3 linked regions of the Arabidopsis thaliana genome follow. The protein of the gene in region 1 interacts with the protein of each later gene in a pairwise test. Each region holds a gene or a part of one and is shown in the gene's direction. Other genes may lie near its edges.

Region 1 (7,794 bases):
CTGTAGAACTATTCCTTCTTCCCCCTCTTGCTCGTCATTAGCAATCTCTGCAATATATTCTCAGTAAGATTCAAACAGGATAAAAACCCCGCCAAGAGAAAAGGTATATTAGCAAACAAAAAAAAAGGATATTAAAAGTACCATCCAAATCTTCCCCAGCATCAACACTTTCGTTGTTCAATAAGCTTGATTCAGTCTAAATATCAAACAAGAACAAATGTGAGTCACAGAATCATCAAACACACAAGTTTAATGACATAAAAAAAATACTAGGCACAAAACGTAAAACAATACTCACTGGCTTCTTCTTCTTTTTCTTCATTCCAGTAAATGAACTCTCAAGACCATCATTAACTGCAAAAACAAGGAATTAGACAAAGTAACACAAAAGACCATTGAAACAAAAAAAATGTTTCACATCACATTGACTCTTCATCATACATACCAGGCAATGAATCAGATTTCTCAGTCTGTGAAGACTCTGCTAAGTCCTCGACAGGTTCCTGAATCACAACCTTCTTCTTCTTTTTCTTCTTGGAAGGATCAAAGGGTGCGAGCTGCTGTAAAAGGATGAACCAAAACATAAAAACCATTCAATCATGAGTTCATCAAACAAAACAAAAAAAAAAATCTATATGGCTAACTTGAGCCCTATCATTAAGAAACAGAGAAAAAAAACAAACTTACTTCTTGCTCTTCCCTTATCTCATTGATTTCATCAGCCATGATTGCAACTGAGATACAAAACGAAAACACACAATGATAATAAGACCTCAGAAACCAAACATATACATATTAGAATCAACATAATCTGTAACAACGATGAGCATAGGCAAGTCCGAAATTAGGGTTTCTAAATCAGAGAGGTAATTCGGAACGCAACAAAACCATAACGAGATTCAGAACAACTTTTCGATTCCCAATAAAAAAAATACCCAAATAAAATGTACGACAAGGCTTCAAATCAGAAACGGAACAGCTAGGTTTACCAATCTGTTTATACTCAATTCTTCCAAAAACACGATTTACTCTGAGATCGACCAGAAGAATTCGAAAAGGAATCGAAGAAAACTCACAAAGGGATGTCTAAGCGCTGAAATTGGCGTAGAGAGTAAACGAGGTTGCTTCGGGAGGAATCTGAGAGAGAGTAAGCGGCGCAGGGGTTGTTTTAATCTGAGATAAGAGTTAACCCTTGCTCCTCCAAAAAAATAGTCCATCTCGAATTGTAACTTTTTTTTTTAATTCAATAGTAAAAGGTCTCTGTAAATATTTCATTTTGCCTAAACCTTAATATTACATTTTTACTTTTTTCTTTTTCTTAACGCATGTTACATTTTAATTTTATCTATTAATTGACACTGAGATTCTCATTTATTATTTTATTTGTCTTAATTAATTAATCAATTGAAATTTTATCAAATCAATTTTTTTTTTTTCAAATTAAGATTTATTTCTTATTAAATTCTGTGAATAGTAAATTATATAAAAATGTTATTAAATATAAATGAAACTAGTAAAGAAAGAAATCAGAATATATTTAGTGTCAAAATTAATAGTCTAGCATATCTTATTTTACTATAAATTACTAAATTATATTATTTTATTATTTAATATATTAAGTATTTTAGTTTGTTAGATATTCAGTAACAAAATTTCCGCAAATGCATTAATTTTCAACCGCTAAATTAATCGTTCAAATTGTTTAATAACGCTTGAGACGGCAACCGCCTACTTCCGCAAATTCATATAGTCATAATCGGATTTTAGCGTTTAAACCACGAGTCTGGCCTTAGATCAAAGAAAACCCTACTTATAGTCAACCCTAATCCATGATACCAAATGGAGAAAAAAAAAGAAAGAAAAAATGGAAATTTCCCAAATTAACACACCCATAACTCAAACTTGTCTCAAACCTCAGATTATATAATTAGGCTAAAATCTGATAAACCAAAAAATGTATCAGAGTGAGTGCTAAAGAGAACTTTGTGTTGACCTCTCTTTCCCTCCTAATTCCTTAGGGTTCCTCGATTTTTCTTTTTCACCGAAACAAAAACCTTATTCCTCCTTCTCTTTCTCTGTCTATCTTTCTCTGTACGTTTTATTCACTTTCCTCCACGTGGATTTGCATAAAAGCATGAAAATTTGTTGATGGGTTTCTCTTCGACATCCAGATTCTAGCTTCCAATTCCGTAATTCTCCGTTAAAAAACCCTAATTTCTCGAATTTACTCTGATCTGTGTAGAAATTAGGGAGTGAAGTGTCCGCAAGTGTTTGGCAATGTCGGATGACATGGTTTTGCATTTCTCCTCGAATTCTTCTAATCAGTCGGATCACTCTTTACCCGACAAAATCGCCAAGCTTGAGGCCCGCTTGACTGGTAAGACCCCTTCCTCGGCCAAGCCACCACAACAACAACAACAGCAGCAGCAGCAGGTCTCTCTCTGGTCATCTGCTTCTGCCGCTGTCAAAGTCGTCACTTCCACACCGCCGGGATTGTCCGAAACCTCTATCAGTGATTCAGACGACGAGGTAGCTTCCGATGTTTGTTTCAAATTCTTTTGTTTATGTCTATGCTATGATTCTTGTGAGTCTAAGGGTCGTTGCTAATTGAATTGTTGATGTCCCTATCCTCCTTGTATTGATCAGTTTGTGCCTAAAGATTGATCAAAGTTGTATGCAATGCTGGCTACATATCCTGGCATTGCAGATGCATCTATATTTCTTTCTTGAACAAGAAATACAGTCTCTTTTTTAGCTAGATCTCATTCTCCTTGTTACTGTCTCAGAATACTGGAGATTTCCTAATCCGAGCAAATACAAAAAAGCGCCAGAAAGTTCAAGAATCTAACAACTTCAGTGTTGTTGATCATGTTGAGGTATTGATTTTTCATAAAGAGTTTTCTTTTAGTCTCTTATCGGGTTGATGTTTTTTATATCAAATATTGGTGTATGATGTAAGTTTTGTCTCCTAGTATTTCTCATCAACTTATAATGAAGAATATTGTTGAATTGAAGCCACAAGAGGCAGCATATGATGGAAGGAAAAATGATGCTGAGTCCAAGACAGGCCTTGATGTAAGTAAGAAGAAACAAGGTCGAGGTCGGGCTTCGTCAACAGGTAGAGGGCGTGGTTCTAAAACTAATAACGATGTGACAAAATCTCAGTTTGTGGTTGCACCAGTATCAGCTGCCAGTCAACTGGATGCCTCTGATCAAAAGGTTAGTATTGTTTACCTCATCGGACCTTACATGGAACCACTCTTCTCATCATCGAGGATTTACATATATGAGACTTAATTTCGTTGACAAACGTGGACACAAATTATATGTTTTCCTGAAGTAAAACCTTTTAATTGGCCTGTATGAAAAAATTAAGCAGGACAAGAAAGAATTACTATGCCTTTTCCTACCTTTTTTTTTGCTGTTTGCATTGATGTTGATGACCAGACGCAGTTTATCAATGAATATTTTCTGCATTTTATTCTCCAGGATTTTAGGCCTGATGGACAGCTCAGGAATGGTGAATGCTCTCTCCAGGATGTAAGTTTCTCCTATAATGTCTTTTACTCTGTAATATTGGAGAATATGTTTGTGTCTCATCGTCTAGGACTAAGCTGCATGTTCTAAGTTGGTTAGAATAAGTGAACGGGATTATTATATATGATTATCCTACAACAATGAAACTGTACAATTATATCTTTCTTTATTCACTATTTTGTTCCTTGTTTATAAATCAGGAAGACTTAAAATCTTTGCGTGCAAAAATCGCTATGCTGGAGGAGGAATTGCGTAAATCTCGACAAGATTCTTCTGAGTATCACCACCTTGTCAGGAATCTTGAGAATGTATTGTGTGAATGCCTTTCAGATTTAGCTATTTGTGCCTATGCTATTACCATTTTTATCTATTCCCATTCCCCTGCTCTGCTTATAATCCTAGTAATGATATATGCAGGAGGTAAAAGATCTGAAAGATCAGGAACAACAAGGGAAGCAAAAGGTACGCAAACTTTTGTTTCCGTGTCTTAATAGATTATTGAGAATTTTTATGTTCTTTTATAAAATTTTGCACCTACTATGGCATGGTTACTTTTAATATTCTCAATGATTTTGGGAGAATCTTAGAGTTAAACATTTTTCTCCATAAGAAGCATGGTAGTTCTATCCCGAGAAAGTTAAATCAATAGACAGTCTCCTGATTTGCTTAGAATGCTCAGTAAATTTATTGATGGTGCTGCTGCTAAATAACTGAAATATCTGTGAAAGCTTGGATCTTGCAATTGTCTACGTTACCTATAGTACTCCATTTCCAGTGAGCTCTTTTCGTAAAGCATTTAGTAGTATTTCTTTAGGTAATAATTAATAGGCAATCTATTGCGGAGAAGGCGATTTAGGTGCATTGAATGTGGAACCAAATTGTAACGAACTGGGTATCTTCATATCAACTTGGTACTTAAATTGGCAGAAACTTTTGCAAACCCTGTAGCACTATTACTGTTAGTGTAATGAAGAAATTTATCAAATGTTTTGTGGCTGCTTCTCTCTGATATTCTTAATAACTCTTACATACTTATGGAAATCATGCGGAATTATTTGGTCTAAGCTAACAGTGCACTTGCTAACAGCAAGCTTTGAACCTTTCTTTTTCTTCACGCAGACAACTAAAGTAATCTCGGACCTTCTCATATCTGTTTCCAAAACTGAGAGACAAGAAGCAAGAACGAAAGTCAGAAATGAATCTTTGCGATTAGGCAGTGTTGGTGTTCTCAGGTCTGCCATAATATATTTATAATTTTATATGAGTTCTTAGTATTTATCCAATATATCATTCATTTCTGTGATCATTTACACAAGGTTTGAAATTATATTTCACAGAGAGGTATAATAAAACATGTATAGCAAATACAAATTTGCTTTATAGTAAAATCTTTAAACAAACTCGAATAGAGTTTTAGATAGAAGTTGCTTTCACATTTCTCAATAATTGCAGCTCTCTTCTTTGCTAAGTTACAAGGTTAGTTCTTGATTTTGTGATCAAAATTTAATACATATGCTTGTGTGTGTTTTTTGGTGATTTCAGGACAGGAACGATCATAGCTGAGACATGGGAGGACGGACAAATGTTGAAAGATCTGAATGCTCAACTTGTAAGTTAAGCTGTGTAGCGAGGGATTTTTATCAAACTAATACCAATAAGCTTTGAAGTAACTGTACTGATTTTTCTATAAATTTGCAACGAAAAGAGACAATTGCTGGAAACCAAGGAGGCTATTGAGAGACAAAGAAAGTTACTTAAGAAACGACAAAATGGTGGTATGTTATCCCAGTATTTTTTTGTTTGTCAGTGAATCCGCAATCTCCTGTAATATATCTTGTGATTTTTTCCTTGGGCAAATTGTTATGATGTTTGGCACCCTTGGTTTTTCCATTTGGGTGTAGATAAGAATGACGGAACCGACACAGAATCAGGAGCACAGGAGGAAGATATCATCCCTGACGAGGTTTACAAGTCTCGTCTTACTAGTATTAAGCGGGTATGTTCTTTATGCATCATCTCAGCTTCTTGTTTCCTATAAGTTGATTCGGTTCTGGTTACGTATCATACATTTATTGGTTTTACCTTTCAGGAAGAGGAAGCTGTTTTGCGTGAGAGAGAAAGGTACACATTAGAGAAGGGGCTACTTATGAGGGAGATGAAACGCATACGAGATGAAGATGGTTCTCGTTTCAACCATTTCCCAGTTTTGAATAGCCGCTATGCTCTTCTAAATCTTCTTGGTAAAGGCGGATTTAGTGAAGTCTATAAGGTCAGAACATTGATAGATACTACATTCTTTTACATGTGAGAATTATTTTGCAGTAATATGATGTTATGGATTTTAAGCAGGCATATGATTTGGTGGACCATAGATATGTTGCGTGCAAGCTTCATGGTTTAAATGCTCAGTGGAGTGAAGAAAAGAAGCAAAGTTACATCCGCCATGCCAACAGGGAATGTGAGATCCATAAAAGTCTTGTGCATCACCACATTGTTCGGCTTTGGGATAAATTTCATATCGACATGCATACATTCTGCACCGTTCTGGAATATTGTAGTGGTAAATCAGAATTCTCCTATTCCTTTGTAGATCCTGGAGTACAGTTCTGAGTTCTCACTCTTATGTTTTGAATTTCTAATGCAGGGAAAGACCTTGATGCTGTATTAAAGGCAACATCTAATCTTCCTGAGAAAGAAGCAAGGATTATCATTGTGCAAATAGTTCAAGGCCTTGTATATCTGAACAAAAAGTCACAGAAGATAATCCACTATGATCTGAAGCCTGGTAATGTTCTCTTTGATGAGTTTGGAGTAGCAAAAGTAACTGATTTTGGTCTAAGCAAGATAGTGGAGGACAATGTTGGTTCTCAAGGAATGGAGCTTACATCACAGGGAGCTGGAACATACTGGTGAGCAATCTAGTTTTTGTCTCCTTGATATGGTCTATATTATTTTTGTCTCTTCTACTTCCGGACATCTTATAGCTAACAAGGTTCTATAATATAGGTACTTGCCCCCAGAATGCTTTGAGCTTAACAAAACTCCTATGATCTCATCAAAGGTCAGTGATTGGTCAATGATGTCATAATCTGATTATCTTATAGAAGTTTTGTGGTACTAAATTGTGTTGAAACTCAGGTTGATGTATGGTCAGTTGGTGTTCTGTTTTACCAAATGCTGTTTGGAAAGCGACCTTTTGGACATGACCAAAGCCAAGAACGGATACTAAGAGAAGACACAATCATTAAAGCCAAAAAGGTTGAGTTCCCAGTAACAAGACCTGCCATCTCAAATGAAGCGAAGGTAAATTAACTGTACCGGTCTTAAACATGGTTTAAGTAAAGTAGTACCAAATAGTCATGAAACTGTCTCTCCATGTTCTCACTTTTGCATTTTCTGCAGGATTTGATTCGACGGTGTCTAACATATAACCAAGAAGATAGGCCGGATGTTCTAACAATGGCACAGGATCCATATCTTGCCTACTCTAAGAAGTGAGATTGTGTAGTCTTCAAAAACAAACCAGAGATGCTAAAAGACCAGATCCTAGAATATTTTTTGGTATAGCTTATAAAGTTTCTGTTTTGTTTGTCTAAATATTTTATCTCCCGGCCCCTTGAACCATATTAATTTCGGGTGAAGTTAATGTGTCTTGTCTTCCTTTTATTATGTAACATGTTATGTATATTCTTCATGTTTTATAATAGAAGAAAGCTGAAAGTTGGAAACAGGCCCCAAATCGTTCTTGCTTCTCAGGTTTAAGACAATATGAAATGTGATCAATTGAAGAAATAAGAAATATAACAAATCCGGCTGGAGAATACTGGACTGGAACTGAACTAAACCGAAGAGTAAACCAAGACAAAACCGAAGATTGAAAATCATTGGCTTGCTAGTAAACTACTACGAGACAAAAGTCTACTTATCCCCCCACTCATACCACTAAAAAACTCACACTTGCTGGCTTCTTCTTCCATGGCTTTATCTTTTGTTTCTTCAACTAGATTCTCCAAGATGCAATATGGCATATGGCACAGTGGATCCTTCACGCAACGAGTCAGTGTGAGATGCTGTGAAATCGCAAACGAGGCTCCACGACCAAAATCGAAGCTCCAAGTAGGATCACCGATCATCATCGTCGAAGCTCCCAAAGTTATAAAAACGGCCGCTTCAATGCCTTGCCTTAGGGCCAACTCTGGCTTGGTCAAGCCTGGCGATGTTGGAAGGTCTTCTTCTTCTTCTTCTATTTTATACAGA
Region 2 (4,511 bases), 8.1 Mb from region 1:
CTCTTGTAAATCATGTTTTACCCTTTTATAAGCTTTTAAAATCCTTGTAAATCATTATATACCACTTACTTATCTTTTAAAAACGATTGTAAACCATGCAAACCTTTTTTAAAATCTCTTGTAAATCATTCTTTGACACTTACTTATGCTTTAAAAACGATTGTAAATCATGTTAACCCCTTTTAAAATCCCTTGTAAATCATTCAATGTCACTTACTTATGCTTTAAAACGATTGTAAATCATACAAACACTTTTAAAATCCCTTGTAAATCATTCTATGCCACTTACTTATGCTTTAAAAACGATTGTAAATCATGTTTTACCCTTTTATAAGCTTTTAAAATCCCTTGTAAATAATTCCAATACCACTTACTTATACTTAAAAAAACATTGTAAACCATGCTAACCCTTTTTAAAAATCTTTGTAAATCATTCTATGCCACTTACTTATGCTTTAAAAACGATTGTAAATCATGTTTTACCCTTTTATAAGCTTTTCAAATCCCTTGTAAATCATTCAATGCCACTTACTTATGCTACAAAACGATTGTAAACCATGCTAACCCTTTTTAAATCCCTTATAAATCATTCTATGTCACTTACTTATGCTTTAAAACGATTGTAAATCATGTTTTACCCTTTAATAAGCTTTTAACATCCCTTGTAAATCATTCAATGCCACTTACTTATGCTTAAAAAACGATTGTAAATCTTGTAAAACTATTGTAAAAAGTTTTAAAATGATTTACAAAGGTTTAAAAAGGGGTTTTAAAGTATTTACCTATGTTTTTAAAGACTTTATAAATATTTTAAGAGGTTTTAAAATGATTTACAAGGGTTTTTAGCAACTACCAAAGCTTTTAAAAAACCTTGTAAAGTTTTTTAAAAGAGTTTTTAAAAAACTTTACAAGGTTTTTTAAAAGAGTTTTTAAAAAATTTACAAGGATTTTTAAAAGCATTTTTTTGGCTGGGAAAAAAAATTTACGAGAAAAAAATTTGGCGGGAAAATTTTTTTTGGCGGGATTTTTTTTTTTGGTGGGAAAAAAAGTTTGGCAGAAATGTTTTTTGGCGGGAAAAATAATTTTTGGCGCCAAAAATTTGGCGGGAAACTATCAGTTTCCAATTACATGTTCTTATTAGATGAGGGTAATTTGGTCATTCTGTTCAAGGGAAGAGATATTTTTAAAAATGAATAATATAAAAGGGTATTATTACAAAAAGGTAGTAAAAAAAGGATAGTTTTGTAAATCTGCCTAATCAAAATCTGCTACTTACTAAAATAAAATTGAATTCATTTAAGTTATAAAGTTTAATCCACCTCAAAAATGAACTTTTATATCAGTTTTGAGTTGACAAAAAAGAGTTAGGGTTTAGATTTTATGATTAAACAAAGTGAAATCTCTGTTTGAGTTTATAAACATTTAGATTTTATAATTAAACGAGGTTAAATATTGGTTTAGGTTTAGAAAAAATTGTTAGGGTTTAGATTTTACATTTTAACAAGTTTAAGTATCGGTTTGGAGTTTACAAAGGAGAAGTAAAGTTAGATTTTGTAATTAAACGAAATTATATATATCAGTTTGGATTAATAGAAGAGTGGTTGGATTTTACATTTTATAGATTTTATAGTTAAATGTTTTTTTATTCATTTATTAGCTGGCATATTCCGATTGGCTGAAACAAAAGAGTGAATAACATTAGTAGAAATGAACCAAAGTATTCTTTGATTTCAATTTCTTTTCCTTTGGTCTCTTCTAATGAAAAATTGTTACTACTATGAATTGAAAATTTTACTTTTTTAAAATTCTACTTTTGTTTTCACTAAATCTTTATACTGGTATAATATTACACATTATTCTAATTATATTTTTACTCTATTCAACAGTTACACATACAATATTGTCAATTAATTGTTAAGTGAAAACTTTTAACTAAATCTAAATTTAGCCCATGGGCCTTAAAACTTAAGTATTATTAGTTAAAATGGCCTCGATTTCAATTCCTTTTATATTTCCCTCTTCTAATTGAGGTTTTAAAGCTCTCCCGCCAATATAGTTGACCGGTAACTACCGGTTATTAGCCTTATACCAACCGGTTAAAAAAAAACCACCCAATAACTGGCAAATTGAAATCGCTCTAACCACGAACCGTCTCTGAATCTGACCGACCACCATTCTTCTCGCGCCGGCGATTTCACTGTTTACAGAGAAATCTCGAGAACCCTAACCTGGGTCTCTCTAGATTTCTTTGAAATTTCGAGAATCTAGGGTTTCAAACTAAAATCGAGTCCTTGAGTTTTCCCAATTTAAATCGTTATGAGCTCTATCAATATCACTAACGTCACCGTCTTGGACAATCCTGCTCCGTTTGTGAATCCATTCCAGTTCGAGATTTCTTACGAATGCTTGACCTCTCTCAAAGACGGTACCTTTTACTTTCCCTGATCCTCTATCTTTCGAAAATTGATACTATGTTGATTTATTTTCGATTTTGTTATTATATTCTTCGGAACCGATTGAAGAATGAAGAACCTGTGATTGGATATGTGAATAATGCTACAAAAGATTCAATTTTTGGGGTTTTAAAGTATGATTTGTAGCTAATTGACTTCACTGTGTTAGGGTTTTCTTGCATTTGTATGAGCTCACACACGATCTGTCTCGAGCTTAGTGTACTCTCTTTGGCTTAGAAGTTGGTTATATGTCTGCAATTGTTCGTATTCAACATTGTAGTTGTGGTATTTAGGAGCCTTGTCTTTGCTCTATGAGGATTGTTTACTGTGAATGGTTATTTTGTATGGCTTATCTTTCGGATGTGTTGGCTCTCAAATGAGATTTGACCTCTGGCTCAGTGGCTATGTACTGTAATTTCACACATTACTAGTTGCAAGTTATCGGTTCTTGATCATGGCAGAGAATTATTGTTCTAGATATCATTATGTGTGTGTTGCTTATCCTTCTGCAATAAAAGCGTAAAACCGTTTTGCCTATACCAACTGGTTAAGTTTCTGTGCTTTGTAAATTTTCGTGATTTCTAGTCATGATCACATTCTGGTAAGCCTGATGTGTGAGATAACGTTTCTTTGGTTTTGCTACAGATTTGGAATGGAAGCTTATATACGTAGGGTCAGCTGAAGACGAAACGTATGATCAAGTTTTGGAAAGTGTTCTTGTTGGTCCTGTTAACGTTGGGAACTATCGATTTGTGTTGCAGGTAGTGTATGATTAGTTTTATTCTTCTCTCTTTGTTTCTGGTGGTTTAGGTACATAATCTTAGTCTAAACTTTTTGTTTGATTAAATGATAGGCTGACTCTCCAGATCCGTTAAAGATTCGTGAGGAAGATATTATTGGTGTTACTGTGTTATTGTTGACTTGCTCATACATGGATCAAGAGTTTATAAGAGTTGGCTATTATGTGAACAATGACTATGATGATGAACAGCTCAGGGAAGAGCCTCCTACCAAGGTTTTGATTGATAAGGTCCAAAGGAACATACTCACAGACAAACCTAGAGTAACTAAGTTCCCTATCAACTTTCATCCTGAGAATGAGCAGACTCTTGGTGATGGGCCTGCACCTACTGAACCATTTGCTGATTCTGTTGTAAATGGAGAAGCTCCGGTGTTTCTTGAGCAGCCACAAAAGCTTCAGGAGATAGAACAATTTGATGATTCTGATGTAAATGGAGAAGCTATAGCGTTGCTTGATCAGCCACAAAATCTCCAGGAGACATGATTCTTGTTTGACTCAAGCTTAACTGGAAACTGGATTAGAACTATCATCTCAATTCTAATCGAAAGATTTGTATTTTTGTTTCTTTTATCTGGAACTTGAACTCCAGTTGTGTTACTGTTTGTAGAAATTTAAGTTCTTCTTGCAACATCCCTATACTGTGCTATGTTCAGAGTTCTTAGTTCCCATTCTTCTTGTTATCCTAGTGGCTAATGCAAGCAGATCATTGCAAACACTAACAATTCACTTGAAGATAGTTGTTTAAGAAATGCACTTATTCTCAAAATTAGGTATGGCTTAGTGACCCATAAAACTTTCGTTTAGTCCACGTTTAAAGAATTTTTCAAAATTTAAAGGTAAGACAATCCATTTCAACAATTTTCTCACAAGCATCACATTTAAAAACATGGTCTATGGGTGAGTTGTTCTTCTGATTTATTCTGTCTTTCAACTTAGTTTTTCTTCCCAATCAGTTTCCACCAAGATAATTTCACTGCACAATCAAAGCCATAATACAATACATAGCAAATACATCAAATATTAAGCTACAAACAATCAAATGCTTTTTAGTTTAATGTTTTTGAAATCTTAACGGTTATTAGCTAGGAAACACTTCCATCAAGAAATTTCCAGTCTAACAAAAGTATTTATAAACTTTTAAGGAACTAGAATATAGTTGAAAAATGCTTAATGGTCGACCTATATTCATCCATATGTACACTATAATACAATGTTATTATACTACTATTGTTGTCCATATAGAGGTTCAAAGAAAA
Region 3 (7,145 bases), on another chromosome or scaffold:
TGTCCGGGTCAGATACGAGCTAATATGAAGATGATCAAGTGCTTGGTTACACAAAACCACCATGTCAAAGATTTTATGCGAAAACCTAAAACACGAGCATGCATGTAGCTCGATTGTTCAACCAGAGAAATCAAACTCGGAGCTATACCGAAATTATGTTCTGATTGGACTAATCGACTTATAGACGCATGTTTTCATATCTAAGTTTTTGATGGCCTTTTTAGTCCATATAAGTTTTTTTAAAATGCAGCATACTAATATTTGAATTCAGACTCTATTTTGATCTAGACCTACTAGGAAAACTCAAACAAATTGAGTTTAGTGATATATTGAGAGGTAAAATACTAAAATGGTCTAACTAATACAACTTACATGTTTAGTAGAACTTAAATTATGCTTTATTTACAAGACTAAAAGAGTAGTTAAACTTGAAATCTTAAACTGTCGCCGTAGAAATAACAATTGGGTCAAGAAAAGTTTTCTAATCCTTATCAAAATAGAAAAGTTTTCTAATATAATAGAAAAAACACCCGTAAGTGGGAAAACATCTTCTACAAACTTAATAAGAAAAGGATATACATATCTCCAATCCACATGCGAATAGTTTTGGGTCAAATCTCTACGCTTCGCGTAACAAATTGAATTTGTCAAACAATTTGAGCATGACATGATGAAAAAAGGCCAGAGTCATGTTAATTCGTCGTATCGTAACTCCGACTTCTGACTTTCTCCATTCTTTTTAACGAAACGATAAGTCAACTTTTAACCGAAAAGGACTACAAGTCAATTTATTCATTAATGCTCTACGTGCATAGGTTATACTTATTGGTTACCCTATAGAAGTTGAACCGTGAGATCAAAAATCATGTTAGATAAACCGGCTCCGTTCTTTGTGACGTTGACATATATTTTTCTTAGGCCAGAGACTATAGCTAGATAAATAACTCCATTCTTGGCTGCTCGTAGGATACGAACCCAAAACTTGGTCATATTTTATCTCAAAAATAAGATCCCAAAAAATATCGACTATTAGAGCTATCGATACCATACGTGTTTCAAAGATGTAAATTTGAACCCCTCTACCTTGAAAGCGTGTATAAGGCTTATTTTCTGAAAAAAAGTGTTAGCTCATCTAACATATACAAAGATTAAAGATTGGATCGTTGACAGAAGAAAAGATTTACAAAAATTTGGATCTTGTGAATTAGTTACTATTGGGCTAAATAAAAGCCCATGTATGTATTTATTGGACCAGACCTAATTTTTGTACCAGGGCCTGAGGACTATATCCAACACAAACCACAATTTCAAATATTATTTTGGCGTTTTAACTTCTAAACGCTTTATCTTTATCATGCGACTTGCCAGATGCCAACCCAAGCCACGTGCATTACGATTCAACTAATTTTTTGTTGTCTTTTTTTCCCCTTTTTAACGAGGCAAAATAGTAGAAATATTTTTCTATTTTCATGAAATTGTAGAAGAAAATAGTAAAATTTCCGAATTTTCCTAATCTATAGTTTCACTTTAGATAAAATAATACTTAGCGTGACGAAGGCAACTGGCTTATTCAACTTTATGTGTTTAATAAAAGATAAAATAAATAATAATTTCGTATATATTTCTCTCCTTTGTTCATAAAATAATTAAAATATTTTTGATTGATTCTTTCGAAAAGTAAAAAAACTCATTTAATTACAAGAATATAATATATGTTAACCCACCATGACAAACATATATTTTGACATCTTAGATAACAAGTAACTAAATTAATTACATTCCTTTTTATTTTATTTTCTTTTTAATTTTATGTGAATGTAAAAAACAAGAAAAAAAATAAAATTTATTTTTCTCTCTCGCTTGGTTCAACCGTGGTTGTTCATCGGAAAAATATCTTCGGCTTCAATTTCGTTCGATTTACCCTAAATTCTCGACTAGTGTTCGTCAATCCCACTTCCAATTCCACATTTCAAACCTTTTCAGGTAATATTTCTCATATTTTTCGTGTTTTTTTTCGGGGTCAAACTTATTTTTTTAAAAATTTCAATTCAAATTTCGAGTTTGTATTTAGTAACCCTAGTTCTTAATTTTTCAATTTTTCGTCTTCCCTTATGAGATTTAGCTTAATTAGGGTATTGAATTAAGTAGAATTGGGTTTTTGTTTTTGTTGTGATCTGGTGAAATTAATTTTAGGGTTTTATTGAAGGTGAAATTTGTTTGTTCTTCGTTATATCTTCGAAATTAGGGTTTTTCAAATTTGTGTCGTGGATGTAAAAATTATGAATTGCCTGTAAAATTTTTCTGTCGGTTGCTAAATTTCTTGTGATTTTAGTTGATGATCGCTATGTAGAGTTTCGCCTTTTTTTTGGGATTTTGAATGTTCATGGTTTAGGATTCATTGCTCTGATTTGTAGGAAGTTGAAATCAAAAGCATGAATGCTTAAACAGTTTACGCATTATTGCGAAATGCAAGCCGAGCTGATACCCGAAGGTCCTAACGGTGAGGGCCGTTTATCAAACCAGAACAGCAACCCTAATTTACTCTCTTCTGCTTCTATCAGTATTACTCAGTTTCCTGGTATGTTGCATTGATTTAAAAGTTGTGCTTGTATGCTTGTTTTGTTAGCTTAGTTGATTTTTTTTAATGGAAATGGCGATGTTGCAGCTAAGAAGCCGACTAGGCAATGGGCTGCTTGGACACATCAAGAAGAGGAAAGTTTCTTCACTGCTCTTCGTCAAGTTGGAAAGGTATCACCTTGACGTTCTTCTTCTCTATGTTGTTAACCTGTTATGTGTGTGAACCTTCTCTTTGTGTTGTTTTGTAGAATTTTGAGAAGATAACTTCTCGTGTTCAGAGCAAAAACAAGGACCAGGTTGGTTGTTTTAGTTTTGTGTTTGTTTTCTTTTCGCTTGCACTTGCTGGTGTTTGCTTTTAGTTTCTGATGGTTGTGGAAACTTCTTGTGATTTGCAGGTCAGGCATTACTATTATCGTTTAGTGAGGCGTATGAACAAACTTTTGGGCCCGGATCTGAGCCTTGATGCCAAGAACCCAAAGGACACCAATGCTGCAATGCTACGATGGTACTTGATTTATACATTTCTTTTCTGTTATGCTTTGTGCTGGTATGGTAGATTGTTACGTTATCGTAAACAAATGATGAATATCACTCTCCGGGTATTTTTCTAGATAACAAGTTATAGCATGTTATGATACTATGAGTATTATTAAGTAGGCATGGTCACATTCATTTAAGGGTTCCATTTGCGTAAAGTAATTTCTGTAGTATAGCTATGCATTTCCTGCTAGTGACAATATAATGTTAAGGTAAGGTTTTTTGTTTTTTTCATGTGCTTTGATAATATCTGCCAGGAACCTCATACATGATCAGATAGTAGCAACTGACTTATATTTCAGACATCATAGCTTCTTCCATTCTCCTAGATGACATGATTTCACATATCATGATCTTAATTATCACTCAGCTCGTCTGACTAAAGTAAACATGCTTTTTCATGTGTCTTGCAGGTGGTCTTTGCTTGAAAAGTATAGCTGCAAAGCTTCAAAACTTCATCTCAAGCCCCGGAGATTCAAACTATTTATAGAGGCCTTGGTTAGTTGGCAAATGCGAATTTCGTTTAACCCAAAACCACCTTGGATTTGACAAGGAATCGTTTACAAACTATTGTCTAACAAAACCTTTTGCATGAAGGAACACCAATTGCTGAAAGACCGCAGAAAGAGCATAAGAAAACGGACTTGCCAGGGAGAAAATCTCTCTTCTGCTTCCCTCGGAAACATCTCAAGTCATAGTAGAGAAAGAGGATTGGATAACCGTCCATTTAAACTTATTCTCTCCGACGGCCAAAATGTTAAAAAGCTAGGGCCTGGAAGAGCATCTACCAAACATGGTGAAAGCTTAAGTGTCAACCTTGGTGACGAAAAAGAAGACACAGCCTTTGGGAGAGGTGGAAGGCAACGGCGAAAACAAGGTTCTTTCTTTACTAGTTTTTATGCATGTTTGTTAGATAGGCAGTTTTCTTCAGCCCCATATTGTGTGTGTTTTCAGTGTTCACACAAATTTGGACATTATCTGCTTTTAATCTTCCATGTTGATATTAGATTTTATGTTGCTATTTAAAAGCTTGATGTAGTTCCAGGTTCTTACGTGACTCTAAGCATCTCTTCCTTTTTCAGCAGGTTATAGAAAATGGGAAAAAGCTGCAATAGATGGGGTCTCTCTGGTTGCTGATGCTGCAGAGCATTTGGAACGAACATCAATTGACAAAGATATGGATGATCAAACAGGTTTACTTACTAGTATTGGATGATAGTTCCTTTTCTTAGATATATGTTTTTTGAGGACTAACATGTGCAAATTCTAAATCAGATTCTCTTTTTATCTTAGATTTAGGTCCCACAAGATATTTAACCGGAAAGTCTCCACTTTCTCTATGCTCAGCTGGTGATGTTCCTCTCAGTGATGCCAATATGCAGTTTTCTGCCAAGCTTAAACTTCAGCTGTTCCCGATTGATGAATGTACTCGAAGATCCTTGGAAATGGTAAGCTTCAAATAGGAATTATACTGATTGGAGCAATAATTTTCTGAGACATGAAATGGAGCTTGATCTGTTAACACTTAACACTTTAACAGGATAAGCACAATCCGCATCTTGAACTTACTCTTAGTAATCGCAAGAAGATATCATCTGTACTTGAACATCTCAATCGCAAATGGGGAAGCTCAAGTTGTGCGACTGGAGAGCTATTGCTATTTCCTTACAACGCACGAAAAGAAACTGTAACGTGCCATCAGAGGTGGACCCATGACTCTTTTCTAAGCGCAGCAGAAGTGCATTCAATGGTCGGAAGTCCTTCGGTTTTCCGCTTAAGGTTTGCTCTCATATTTTCCTAGTCTCTTGCAGGTTTCTTCTCGTCAAATTGTCATACAAGATAAACCAAAATTAATTTACTTATATGTATTTGCAGGTATGGTTGGTTTGTCCATGATGCGTCAGGTTCTATTATTTCTCAAGTTCCAACTTCAGATCCTTGCCCTTCACTCGAGGATGACATGAATGTGGATAGGTTGAACGAGGTCAACATGCTCCTTACTGAATCAGGACCCTTGTCTGTGCATTCAACTGCTGAACAAACGACATCTGTAGAGCCCAGTCAGGGTCTAGTATGTGCATCTGGTGTCCATGATCGTCCCGCAAGATCTAGAGATGATTATGAACCTGCTTCAACGAGTATTACTCCACTTGAGCATTTGAGCGGCGGTAATGCACAATCACCAGGAGAATGGGCTGATAGTCTTACTAACATAAGTATAGGTGATCTACTTTCTGAAGTGCCCGATGACATAGATAGTGATGGTGTTGATCCACCTGCCACCGAAGGTTCACATTACCTCCTTCGAGATGTCCCATTTACCTCTGACTCTTTTGATGCTGCAATTGCTGCTCATATACTAAGACACCAGAACAAGCCAAGTGCTCAACTACCGCTGACTTCTGGCTCTTCCTCTCTGTGGGATGATGAAGAAACACGTGATGCCTTCTCTTTCCAAAAAAATCGTTTCGCAAATTCCACCGAGCTGGCTAGTGTTGCTTCTCCTAAAGGTGTTGGCAGAGTAAATGGAGAGCCTTCACAGTTGGTGGAGGTAACTATATCAGCCTCAAATTCCACTTCCCTCAATTGTTTACAAAACTAAACCATCTGATTCAATACTTTCTCTTAGGCTTCATCCGGCGATGAGGGATCTTATAACCCTCATGACGATGGAGATCCAATGGAAGAGGGTCCAGCAGACCCTCATACGATGGATTCTCCAGGGAAGACCCCTTGTGGACTTGCGGATGTATACTGGGTAAATTTAGAAATCTCATATATTTCCCCAATGTAAAAAAGTCATATATATTCAACAACAACACATGTTTCCTCTTTGCAGCCCGACTCGTTAGGACCACTGGATTTAGACATTAGATCGTCAAAGTATACAGATGATTTGATCCTTAGTGAGAGCCTCGGGGGATTGAGCCGTCTGATAGCAACCAGCCTTGATGCGTTTCAGAACTGCTCGCTCTTTGGGTTCGACAATAAGAAGGACAAGTCTAACATGGTATGAAATGGAACCAAAGCTAAAGCATGGGGTCCAAATGTTGATAGTTGAAAAAGAAAGTGACTTCTTGCCTTTTGAAAAAAGAAACTTTTATCACCAACTGATAGCTTCACTGTACAAAAATTTGATGTAACCTTTTACTCTTCCTTTCACACATTCTTTTGTGTTGATACATGTTTCTCTGTGTACACTTTTACTGTTAATTTACATGTTTATTTGGCTACCATGCCTTCTTTCTTTTTTTTTTCTTTTTTTTTGTTCTTTTGTTTATAGAAGTTTCATGACAAATAAGAATTTCAATTAATATTCTTAAGTTCTTTTAAGAGTGCGAGTAAAAGAACAATCGTAGGACGCAAAATTTAACTCGCTCATTCAAGAGTAGTGTTGATAAGTCCTTTTTTTTTTCATTTCAATATTCTACCCGAAAAAGATTCCAAACTTCTACTTTTCTACACTTGATCACCACTATAATCGAAGATTTATGAACAATAGACTCTTTAATAAAGTAAATAAATCATTTAAAACTAAGTTTGTTTGTTGTCTTGATCATATGTGTTCAAATTGGTTTTCTCTTCTATTCTCTACATTAAAACATCCTCCAACATTCAGTTTTCTCACTCTCAATGAACCAGTAATACACACCCTAGGTGCACTAGATTTCATTCAAAACTAAATCTGGTTCACTAAACCAAACCATATTGATTTTCAGGAGGAAAACCACTTTTTTTAGTGTGTAGTACGAGTAAGTTTACACCCTGAGATGCAGGGTTTTTTCTTTGTCTTTTGCTAAGTGCGTGAGATGCAGTTTTACCCCTAGTTAGAGGAAAACAATGAATTTGTGTAATTTTAACATTTTCTTGTTATGAGGAATATGCTCTGAATAATGAGAACCATACAAGATACAACAATGACATAAGCCAAGTTGTCATAAAAGGCCAAATGTGCTTTAATGTGTGATACACCGCTTTACACTGGCCTACTCTTTCACTTCACGTCAAGTTCGTAAACGAAGAGACAATCT

What was found. Proteins that work in one complex are often made in the same cells at the same time.
Region 2: the proteins of TSL (region 1) and ASF1B interact in a two-hybrid assay, tested with the Arabidopsis thaliana proteins (one study listed by BioGRID).
Region 3: the proteins of TSL (region 1) and TKI1 interact in binary tests that used the Arabidopsis thaliana proteins (3 or more experiments, as listed by UniProt).

Annotation. Positions count from the first base shown.
Region 1 is NC_003076.8:7,095,936-7,103,729, forward strand, and holds TSL (Protein kinase superfamily protein), read left to right. Parts: upstream 1-1,932; 5' UTR 1,933-2,277; coding exon 2,278-2,529; intron 2,530-2,786; coding exon 2,787-2,876; intron 2,877-3,015; coding exon 3,016-3,219; intron 3,220-3,489; coding exon 3,490-3,540; intron 3,541-3,737; coding exon 3,738-3,845; intron 3,846-3,954; coding exon 3,955-3,999; intron 4,000-4,656; coding exon 4,657-4,769; intron 4,770-5,079; coding exon 5,080-5,146; intron 5,147-5,242; coding exon 5,243-5,312; intron 5,313-5,438; coding exon 5,439-5,533; intron 5,534-5,626; coding exon 5,627-5,806; intron 5,807-5,886; coding exon 5,887-6,097; intron 6,098-6,181; coding exon 6,182-6,446; intron 6,447-6,543; coding exon 6,544-6,598; intron 6,599-6,675; coding exon 6,676-6,840; intron 6,841-6,939; coding exon 6,940-7,035; 3' UTR 7,036-7,271; downstream 7,272-7,794. Other genes in the region: EIF2 BETA (eukaryotic translation initiation factor 2 beta subunit), read right to left, coding at 1-47, 142-196, 299-354, 446-560, 688-726; CRR42 (DUF3148 family protein), read left to right, coding at 7,513-7,763. UniProt on the Arabidopsis thaliana protein: Required for correct initiation of floral organ primordia and for proper development of organ primordia. Phosphorylates in vitro ASF1B/SGA1, the C-terminal part of TKI1 and histone H3.
Region 2 is NC_003076.8:15,206,327-15,210,837, forward strand, and holds ASF1B (anti- silencing function 1b), read left to right. Parts: upstream 1-2,031; 5' UTR 2,032-2,316; coding exon 2,317-2,425; intron 2,426-3,098; coding exon 3,099-3,214; intron 3,215-3,306; coding exon 3,307-3,738; 3' UTR 3,739-4,009; downstream 4,010-4,511. UniProt on the Arabidopsis thaliana protein: Histone chaperone that facilitates histone deposition and histone exchange and removal during nucleosome assembly and disassembly.
Region 3 is NC_003071.7:15,521,116-15,528,260, forward strand, and holds TKI1 (TSL-kinase interacting protein 1), read left to right. Parts: upstream 1-1,804; 5' UTR 1,805-1,983; intron 1,984-2,353; exon of another isoform or gene 2,354-2,414; 5' UTR 2,415-2,436; coding exon 2,437-2,578; intron 2,579-2,665; coding exon 2,666-2,748; intron 2,749-2,825; coding exon 2,826-2,873; intron 2,874-2,972; coding exon 2,973-3,082; intron 3,083-3,527; coding exon 3,528-3,612; intron 3,613-3,711; coding exon 3,712-3,991; intron 3,992-4,196; coding exon 4,197-4,307; intron 4,308-4,407; coding exon 4,408-4,562; intron 4,563-4,654; coding exon 4,655-4,893; intron 4,894-4,989; coding exon 4,990-5,665; intron 5,666-5,743; coding exon 5,744-5,872; intron 5,873-5,953; coding exon 5,954-6,130; 3' UTR 6,131-6,381; intron 6,382-6,516; 3' UTR 6,517-6,643; downstream 6,644-7,145.